Callithrix jacchus: one gene and its partner. The protein of the gene in region 1 interacts with the protein of each later gene in a pairwise test. Links are inferred from orthologs where the notes say so. Each region holds a gene or a part of one and is shown on either strand. Other genes may lie near its edges.

Evidence for each region.
Region 2: the proteins of LZTS2 (region 1) and STAC interact in binary tests that used the Homo sapiens proteins (3 or more experiments, as listed by UniProt). The two-hybrid records come from large-scale screens. The link is inferred for Callithrix jacchus from reciprocal best matches to the Homo sapiens genes LZTS2 and STAC.

What each region holds. Positions count from the first base shown.
Region 1 is NC_133513.1:93,952,527-93,956,769, forward strand, and holds the start of LZTS2 (leucine zipper putative tumor suppressor 2), read left to right. Parts: upstream 1-1,365; 5' UTR 1,366-1,526; intron 1,527-2,562; exon of another isoform or gene 2,563-2,694; intron 2,695-2,862; exon of another isoform or gene 2,863-3,224; intron 3,225-4,077; exon of another isoform or gene 4,078-4,204; intron 4,205-4,243. UniProt on the Homo sapiens protein: Negative regulator of katanin-mediated microtubule severing and release from the centrosome. Required for central spindle formation and the completion of cytokinesis.
Region 2 is NC_133518.1:74,357,131-74,361,298, forward strand, and holds the start of STAC (SH3 and cysteine-rich domain-containing protein), read left to right. Parts: upstream 1-1,173; 5' UTR 1,174-1,326; coding exon 1,327-1,437; intron 1,438-4,168. UniProt on the Homo sapiens protein: Promotes expression of the ion channel CACNA1H at the cell membrane, and thereby contributes to the regulation of channel activity.

The DNA of each region.
Region 1 (4,243 bases):
GGCCTCATCCAGAGCCTGTACTATTGAACAGCAGCCCAGCCATGTCTTCCAGAGGCACAATACCAGATGTGTCCTACCTGGGAAGATGTGGGTTCCACATTCCTGTCTCCTTGGAATGCCTGGTGGGTTCTCAGGAGATCCTTTAGAAGTTTTCAGTAGGGGACCTTTGTTAGGTCTCTGTGAACTGGGAATAGAGGGATAGATACAGACTTGCCTGTTTGTCTTGCCCCACCCTTCTAGTATACACCCCCACACAGCACAAACCAGAATGATGGGGAGGGGAAGCCAATAACCCCCCAGCCCCACTGCCTGCACAGACACATTCTACTCCATGCCTGCCTTAAACACCCCATGTCATGATCAGGCCTAGTCTATTCAGATCCCTGGATTCTAGAAAGCAGTGCGGTGTCCCTAGGGCCTATGCAGATTTCCTGGGACAGGACTGGTCTGCCTACAGCCAACTGGATGGTAAGAATCTCCCTGACTCGCAGGTTCGGTGGATTGGGAAGAAAAAAACATTTCAAAAAAATCTCCCTGAGAATTCAGGAAAGGCCTGGCTGAGTCAGGTTCAGTTGCATCTGCAGCCCTGTCCTGTGATGGACAGTGTGTGTCATACTTGGCTGTGAGGGGTCAGCTTTGGTCCTCCAGCAGCTTATTCTCTGCAGTGGATGGATTTCAGAAGCCACAACTCACCGAGGTCTCCTGCAGCTCATATGGCCCAAGTACCTGTAGACCTACCCACATGCTGCCTTGAGTGACATGGTGGGAGGGAGCCCTTGGGGCCTCCTTGCAATACAGGCCAACTTCCTGTTTGTGCCTGTGGGTGGGACTTTATGAGTCTAAAAGAAGCCCAGCCATGCCCCCTGGGAGGTCAAAACCGGCAGGCCTGCTCACCTGGGCAGACACCTACTCCAGGGAGGGGGCTGTGCTGGTTCTGCTTGGGCGGCCCCAAGTGAGGTGTGTGCATGGTGGGGGTAGGTGGGAGCTGCTCTGGTGAAACTCAAGTCTTCTTTGTGTGCTTCCCAGGGGTTTTCCTTGTACTTGGGTATTGGGCCCAGAGTGGACTGGTTGGGCTCCCAACCGAGCAGGGGGGAGAGTGGCGGAGTCAGGCTCTATAGGCAGCTTAGTTAAGGCAGCCAGGTAGCAGAATTCTCGGTCACGTGATGATCGCCCCTTTTCCCCAGGTGGAAAACCAAGTCCGGTAAGCTGTGAAGTCAGAGGCCAGAGAGGCATCCTCCGCCACTGTCTAGCCACTGTTGGGCTGGGCACTGGGTCGGCTGTTGGTGGGGTGCGGGGCAGACCACTCCCCTCCCCGGGTGGGGGGCGCGGCCTGAGCCGCCCTGCCCCGCCCCGCTCTGCTCCACCAGGTCCTGCCAGGCGGGCGCCGGGAGCCGGGAGCCGGGAGCCCGGAGCCCGGAGCCCAGAGTTCGGAGCGAGCTAGGGAGCCGGCGTTGTCGCAGCGAGGAGGCGAGCGCGTTGGAGCAGGAGCGGCGCCGGAGCTGTAGCCGAGGCGCAGCTGGCGCTGGGTGAGTGGTGGGCGGCGGAGGTGCAGGAACTCCCGCCTCCTGCACATCCCCGCTCCAGAGCGAACTTTCCGCTTCTGGAGAAGCTGGGGGTGGGGATGAGGAGTGGGGTCGGGCGCAGGCGAAGAGTCAGAACAGGGAAGCGACACGGAAACGCATGCCAACGGGTCCCCACACACGCGTGCACAGACCCACGCCCGCACTTGGGACATGCGAATACACAAGCACTCGGAAAGGACGCGCCCAGTTGGCTACCCTTGCACTCCCAGGGACAGCGCCAGCCGGCGCGCGCGTACCCCCAGCGGCCAGGACACTCTGCGGTCGCGTATTGGGTGGGGGAAAGGGGCAGCCCCGTGCCCGCAATGGAGGCGGGCCGGGTGGGACGCACCCAGAGGTTCCTGCTTCCTGGCCGCCCGCAGGTGAAGACCAAGACGTAAACAGGCGTGGCGCACGTGATCGCTCCGCAGATCAGTGGCCAGTGCTCCCAACCCCACCACGGGGCGGGGACCCCAACCCCAGTCCCGGGCGCGTTTGCCTGGTCCCAGGCCGGACGGCGTTCCATTCTCCGCCTGGAGCCGGGATAAACCCTCTCCCAGGCACCGGAGCACAGCGCCCCCTGGAGCCGGGGCGGAGCAGGAGGGCCGGGCTGCTGGGCAGGGCCGGGGTAACTCGGGCTCCTGGACGTCCTTCTTCCCAGCACATTCTTGGTGTCTACATCCCGGAAAGTTTCGGAGACAGGCCCTTGATGACAGTGGACAGCTGCCCCCGCCTATTAACCCCAGCCCAGAGAGCAGCTGTCTGAGCGCCTGAGGGTCCCCTTCCTACCCTCACTTCCACTCTTTGTGGGATTCCGAGTCTCCTCCCCCGAGAAAATTCATGAGTGTAAACGCCCCCTCAATACTGGAGTGGGCCTACCCCCCTAGCAAAAGGAGGGCGAGCTCCTCCCCCCAGGGAATGAGGGAGTGGGCAGTAGCTTGATTCCTTTTCCCCGCCCCACCCCCCCACCCCTACACACACACGCTGAGCCCAGCTGCTGCCTGAGATGGGCAGGCTGCCAGAAAGAGGAGGAGGCTCTCTGTGCCCCAGGAGGCAGGGATCAGGGCAAGGCCAGAGGAGGGGGCTTTGCTGGGGAGAGGGGCTCAGTCTGTTCTTGTGAGGCTGAGGGTCTGGGGTGAGTCTGAGGGTGGCTGGGCTGTGTTTCCCTTTCCAGGGAAAAAGAAAGAAAAACAACCCTATCCATAGAGCTAAAAATAGAGCTGAGAGCGGGCCAGGGCTGTGGCCTGGAAGGGGGGGATGCTCCTTCCTGGGGCCCGGACGAGCTCTGGCAGGCCTTGGCCCTGGGGGGGAGGGAGTCCTTAGGGGAGAAAGGCTGTCTTTGCCCAGGGATGCAGGCATCAGCTGACCTGACCGGGTCACCGAGACCCTTAAGGGAAAGGCTGTGCTATAGGATATTTGTGAAGCACGGCGTGTGTGTAAGAAGTTGTCCGTGTGAGTGAATGTCAATAGAGGCTGTCAATGTGTGAAAGATGGCCAGGAGACTAAGTGCATTTGAGACTGTGACTGGGTGCGAAGGACTGCGAATTGTGGAAGCCTCTCCACAACAGGCCTGTGACACCGTGTCTGTGTGTGACATGGACTGGAAGATTATGGAAAGAAGGAACGCGGTCCCACGTGACAGCTGAGACTGCTTGTGGCTGCGTGGTGAGGCTGCCTATGGGAAAGGTCGTGTGGGTGTTAGGGACTGTGTTGTGCGCGAGAAGGTGAAAATGTCTGCGATCCTGAGAAAGTGGAATGTTGTTTGCCGTGAGGCTGGTGTAGGTTTGGGCTGTAGGCTGGAACCGGCTCGCCCAGTGATATTGGGGAGCCAGGACTGCCCCTCTCTGAGAAATGGCCTCTCTTTTTAAAAAGTGATCCCAAGGGGAGGCCGGCCTGGGTTCGCGGGGGAAAGGACACCGTGCCGGGGAGTGGGACAGGGCCAGTGTGGTGGGGGGAGGCTGAGTGTGTTCTTCGAGTCGGCCGCCAGGTGGCGCCGCCTCCGCGAAGCCCAGGTTGCCGCCTGCAACCCGCCGCGGGTGGGGCAGGCGCGGACCGAGCTTTGGCCACCGTCTCACGCTAGGGCGCGGGGCCCCCGGACCGGAGAGTGGGGGGCGGCCGGCCCTCGGCCTCCTGCTTGGGACCCTGAGGCTGAGAGCGTGTCAGGGAATTTTCGCCTGGAGAAGCCGAGGGGGAGGGGCGGCCGCCGCCGCCTCGCCGGGGCTCTTTGTGCTGTAACAATGACCAGCTGCCGCCGGCCCCCGGGCCCGGGCTGGGGCGGAGGGTGACCGCCGCCGCCGAGCCGAGCCAAGTCCCCGGACACGCAGTCACAGGGCGTCGGAAGGAGGGCTCCCGACTGCCGCCGAGCAGCCCCTACGTGCGCCCCGGCGGACTCGCGTGACGCGGGTGCCGGAGCGTGTCCGCGGCCCGGGGCGGGGACGGCCCTCGGACCCTCCCTTGCGCAGCGCCGCCCACTCGCACTGGGCGGGGGCTGGCCTGGGCCGGGGGGCGCCGCGGAGGCGGAGGCGGGGCCGGCCCGGGCCGCTCGGAGTGGCGGCGCGCGGGCCGGGATCGGGGCCGGAGCCGGGCGGCGCGCCTGTGGAGCGCTGGGGGCGGCCTGGGGCTGAGCATGGAGCAGCGCGGCGGAGGTGAGGGGGGGCCGGGGCTGGGAGGCGGCCTGGGGCGCC
Region 2 (4,168 bases), on another chromosome or scaffold:
GCCCTGTGTGACTGCACAGGTTACACATCCATGAAGCTGCTCCTGCAAAGATCTGCAGCTAATTTAAAAATCTGAACAGAAGTTTGCAATCTTCTTTTAAAAAATTGAGAGTGTTTCGTATTAAGCGGGGGAAAGAGGCTTTTAAATATCTAGGTGTATTTCCTTTCCCTGCACACTAAGGTTATCTTTAAAATAAACTGGACCCTTCTAATATCTTTATTCAATGGGGCTATCCCTATGTTTCCAAAAGATTTAGTAAGACAGGCTGGTTTGCCTCTCTGCGAACGGCCCTCAACTATTGCTATACTGCAACACCCAATTGCTCTTCAGTCAAGACCTGGCCTAAATTTGAAGTTCCACAGTGGGAAATGCATGGATTTTGAAGCCAAAATAAGTTCAAATTCCAGTTTCACCAGTTACAGTTTAGTGATTTAAAGCAAATTACTCAGCCTTCTTACAACCTCAGTTTCCTCATCTACAAAATGGAAGTGATAATCCCTAGACCCAGAGTAGCTGGAAGGATTAAGTAAGGTAAAAAGAAAGGATTTAGTACAATAAGTGCACGACCAAGGAGGAACAGGTGTCCATATACACACCGCCTTATCTCTCTGCTTTAGATCAAAGCTGAATGGAGGAAGCGCAGTTCCCTTGACTCGGGGGACCCACCCCCCCACTGGGATCGCTGCTCTCAGTCACTGAACCCTATAAATAGCTTAGCTAAGTCACTGTCTCAGTCACCATTCCTTGGGGTGAGGAATGAGGGAGTCGTTGCAAGTGGTCCTTTCTGGCCGTATCATTCACAGATTTTCCATTCTTTGCGGTTTGGGTCTGAATTTTCAGCATCCTCCCTAAAGATTCACCCTCACCCGGTGCCGGCGCGCACCCCGCTTTCCACCCTCACCTCCTCTCCAGGGCGCTGCCCCCCGCCTGCCCTCACTACTCCAGGCGTTGGCCGCACGGCCCCGCCCCGGAGCTGCTCCCGCCTCCTCCCTCCTCCCGTGGGCGAGCTGAAGCCCCGCTCGCCCCTCTCGCCTGCGGCGGCCGAGTGGCAGCCACCACTGCTAGGAGGTCGCCGGCGAGGTGGCCGCGGGCGCGGCGGGGCGGGGCAGGGCGCGCTGTCCTCCACGCCCGCGGAAGTGCCGGGGAGGTGGGCAGGGCCGGGCGGAGAGGGGCGAGGCTGGAGGAGGGCACGGCGGCGCCTGGGCAAGGATGGGAGTCCCCGGGACCCGGAGCTGAGCAGCCGGGTGCGCGCGGCGGGCAGGGCGCGCAGGGGTACGGCAGCCTTGCTGTTCTCCGGGAGCCCAACACCGTTCCCGCGCGGCCAGGATGATCCCTCCGAGCGGCCCCCGCCAGGACGGCGTGGACGGGCTGCCCCAGGAGGCAGCGAGCGCCGAGCAGCCGCCCTCTCCTGCATCCACCGGCAGCCAGGAATCCAAGGTACCGAAGCGCACTTGCCCCAGGAGAACAGACTCACTCCCCTCTCCTCTCGGTCCAGCACGGGGCGCGGGGGGCTGACGCTTGCTCCTTGGGCCGGGGCTGGACGGCGCCTCCCCTGGGACTGGAACGTCCGGTGGGACCCACTGCCCACGATGCTGGACCGCGTCCCCGTGGACCCAGCCTTCTCGCCCACACATTCACACACGCATTTCGTGGTGGCTCCGGGTCCAGAGATCGATTTCCTGCGGGGTGGCGGCTTGGTTGTTTTGTGCTTTGAACCTGCTTGTGTCCAAAGCACGTGTAGGTAATTGTTGGGTTCTGAAGGCTGAGGGATGGAGACAGCCGAGGGATACTCTTGCAGAAAAGCTCGAGTCCTGGGCCAGAAAAGCAAGTATGTATCCCAAGGGTCTCAGAGTCCTTTTGCTCAACAGGGATCAACCCTACCTTCAGATGCCACTCTCTAAAAGAGAAAAAAGAAAAAGGACAAGAAAAGGGAAATACTGCGTTTGTCTAAAGTTGATGTTCCTCTTGTGGAAGTTAATACTCTAAGAACTTACACTTGCTTTTATGAAAGTTACACTAACACATACACACACAACCAGGCCCACAGCACTTCTCCTGTCACTGTTACACTTCCTCTGAAATTCTCGTGGGTGCCAGGCACATGTTTGAAAATCTTGGAAGAGGATCGAGTAAAATGTGGCTGCTCACAGTGCAATGCCAAATGGCAACTCAGCTGGTGGTGCAAAGCCTAAGATGGAGTTTGTAGTTATGTGGATTCTTTTAAGTGTAGAGCTCCTGGCTCTTTATTCTGATTTCATTGTGAGATCCCCAAGCATTTGGGGAAATGTGAGGCAGTCCCTGTATACCAGCAAAGGAAAGGGGATGCCAGTTGGTAGGATAGGAACAGGTCAGATGGGGCAAGGAAAAGCGCCATCCTGTCTCCCTTCACATGCATCCCTGGAAGCCATTGATACAATCAGGAGGATGAAAATCGCAGCCTGAGTGGCTCTGGGGATTTGGGGTGATACTGGGCACTGTACATTTCTCAGCCCCCTGAAATTAACCATCAATGATGGTAAGCTAAGCCTGAACACTTTGCATCTTATTTACTTTTTTTTTTTTTCTGTTAATTACTGGCTGCCAGACCTGGGGTATGTGTGTCAACTTTTCTGAAACTTAATTGGAAATGAGGGAAAAAGCCTCCACCTTCCAGAATCATTGTGAGGGGTACATGAGATGCCCTAATGTCCCCTTGGTATAGTTTAAGGACTCAGTCATGTTTATCCTTTTCCTTCCTGAGATAAAGAGCTGGAATCCATCTCATCTCAAATGACCCACTCCAAAACAATCTCATAACCCATATACATGACTCCAGTCACAAAGGTTCTGGGTGTCATTGCCTGCCGTTGAACATCAGTCCCCAAAGTGATATAGGTTAGTGGCCATTTTATAGGAAGGCTAGAATTCTGTAAAAGAAGGTAGCTAAACTCAAGAGTGAAACTGGTATTAAACTTTTTGAATTGGCCTGTTGCTCTGCCGTAGGTGCGTCCTGGAAAGGGCTTAGCATTTGGGCAAACAGCGGCATGATTCAAATGTATTGTATGGATTTGCTATTTATAGATGTCCTAATGGAAATTATTTGGCAGAGCAAAAACCACATATGTAATGCCCGTAATTATCCGCCAATTTATCTGGCTTATGGCTTTGTACAAATTAGTTTTTCTCAAAGTGGTCTCTATACCGGATGTGTATTTCTACATTCCTAAGTTTGATGTCATGGCTTCGGTGTGCTTAATTAGTGGACATAAACTCTGGGGGCCCCTGAACACTAGGAAATTGAATGCAATATTGTATGCCTAAATGTGACTTTTTCTTGGCATGGCATTTGTGATATTCCCAAGGGGATCCATGCCCCTTAAAAAAAGCTAAACTGCTCGTAGGGAGGAACATGTGGTAAGGTAAGACAAGGATGACATGAAACCAGAGGACAGGAAGGCTCAATTCATTCCATGCTAGGAAGGCCACGTGTTAAAGCTCACTGGCGTTTACAAGGATCTTCCACCCTGAGCACGAGCGCTTGGTGAGGAAAACGTGAACAAGACAATAATAAGCATTCCACCTTACTCTTCCATGAAGTGGTCTTGTTTGTAAAATATCTTGTGAGACAAACATGGTTCAGGCTTCTTTGGGCATTTAACTCTCTCGGGGAAGACTTTTAAAATTACTTTTTTTAAAGACTTAGGTTTTTCGTCTTATTATAAGAGTAACAAATATTCTTTGTAGATATTTGAACAGTCCAGATATAAATTATAAAAAGAAGAAAAATCAGCTGTTGGTTTATCATCCAGAAGCATCTATTAATAGCATTTTGATCTATATCTTACATCTTTTTAAATCTATTTTTTATTTACATAGTTGAGAGAACAATAGTGAGCATCTACTGAATGTTTACGGTGAGTCAGGTATAACCTTAATCTTCACAATAGAAGATTCTGTTAATATTGCTGTTTTATGGATAGGGAAGTGGAAGCTGAGAAAGGTTAGATCATTTTCATTGTGGAAATTTATCTTATTATGGAGAATTTCAAAATACACAAAAGTAGAGAAAACAGTATAGAGAACTGTCATGGACCTAATCATGTGGTTTCACGATCAATTCATGGACAGTGTGTTTTATGTATTACCACCCCCACCACCACCACCACCCTACATGTACTAGATCATTTTA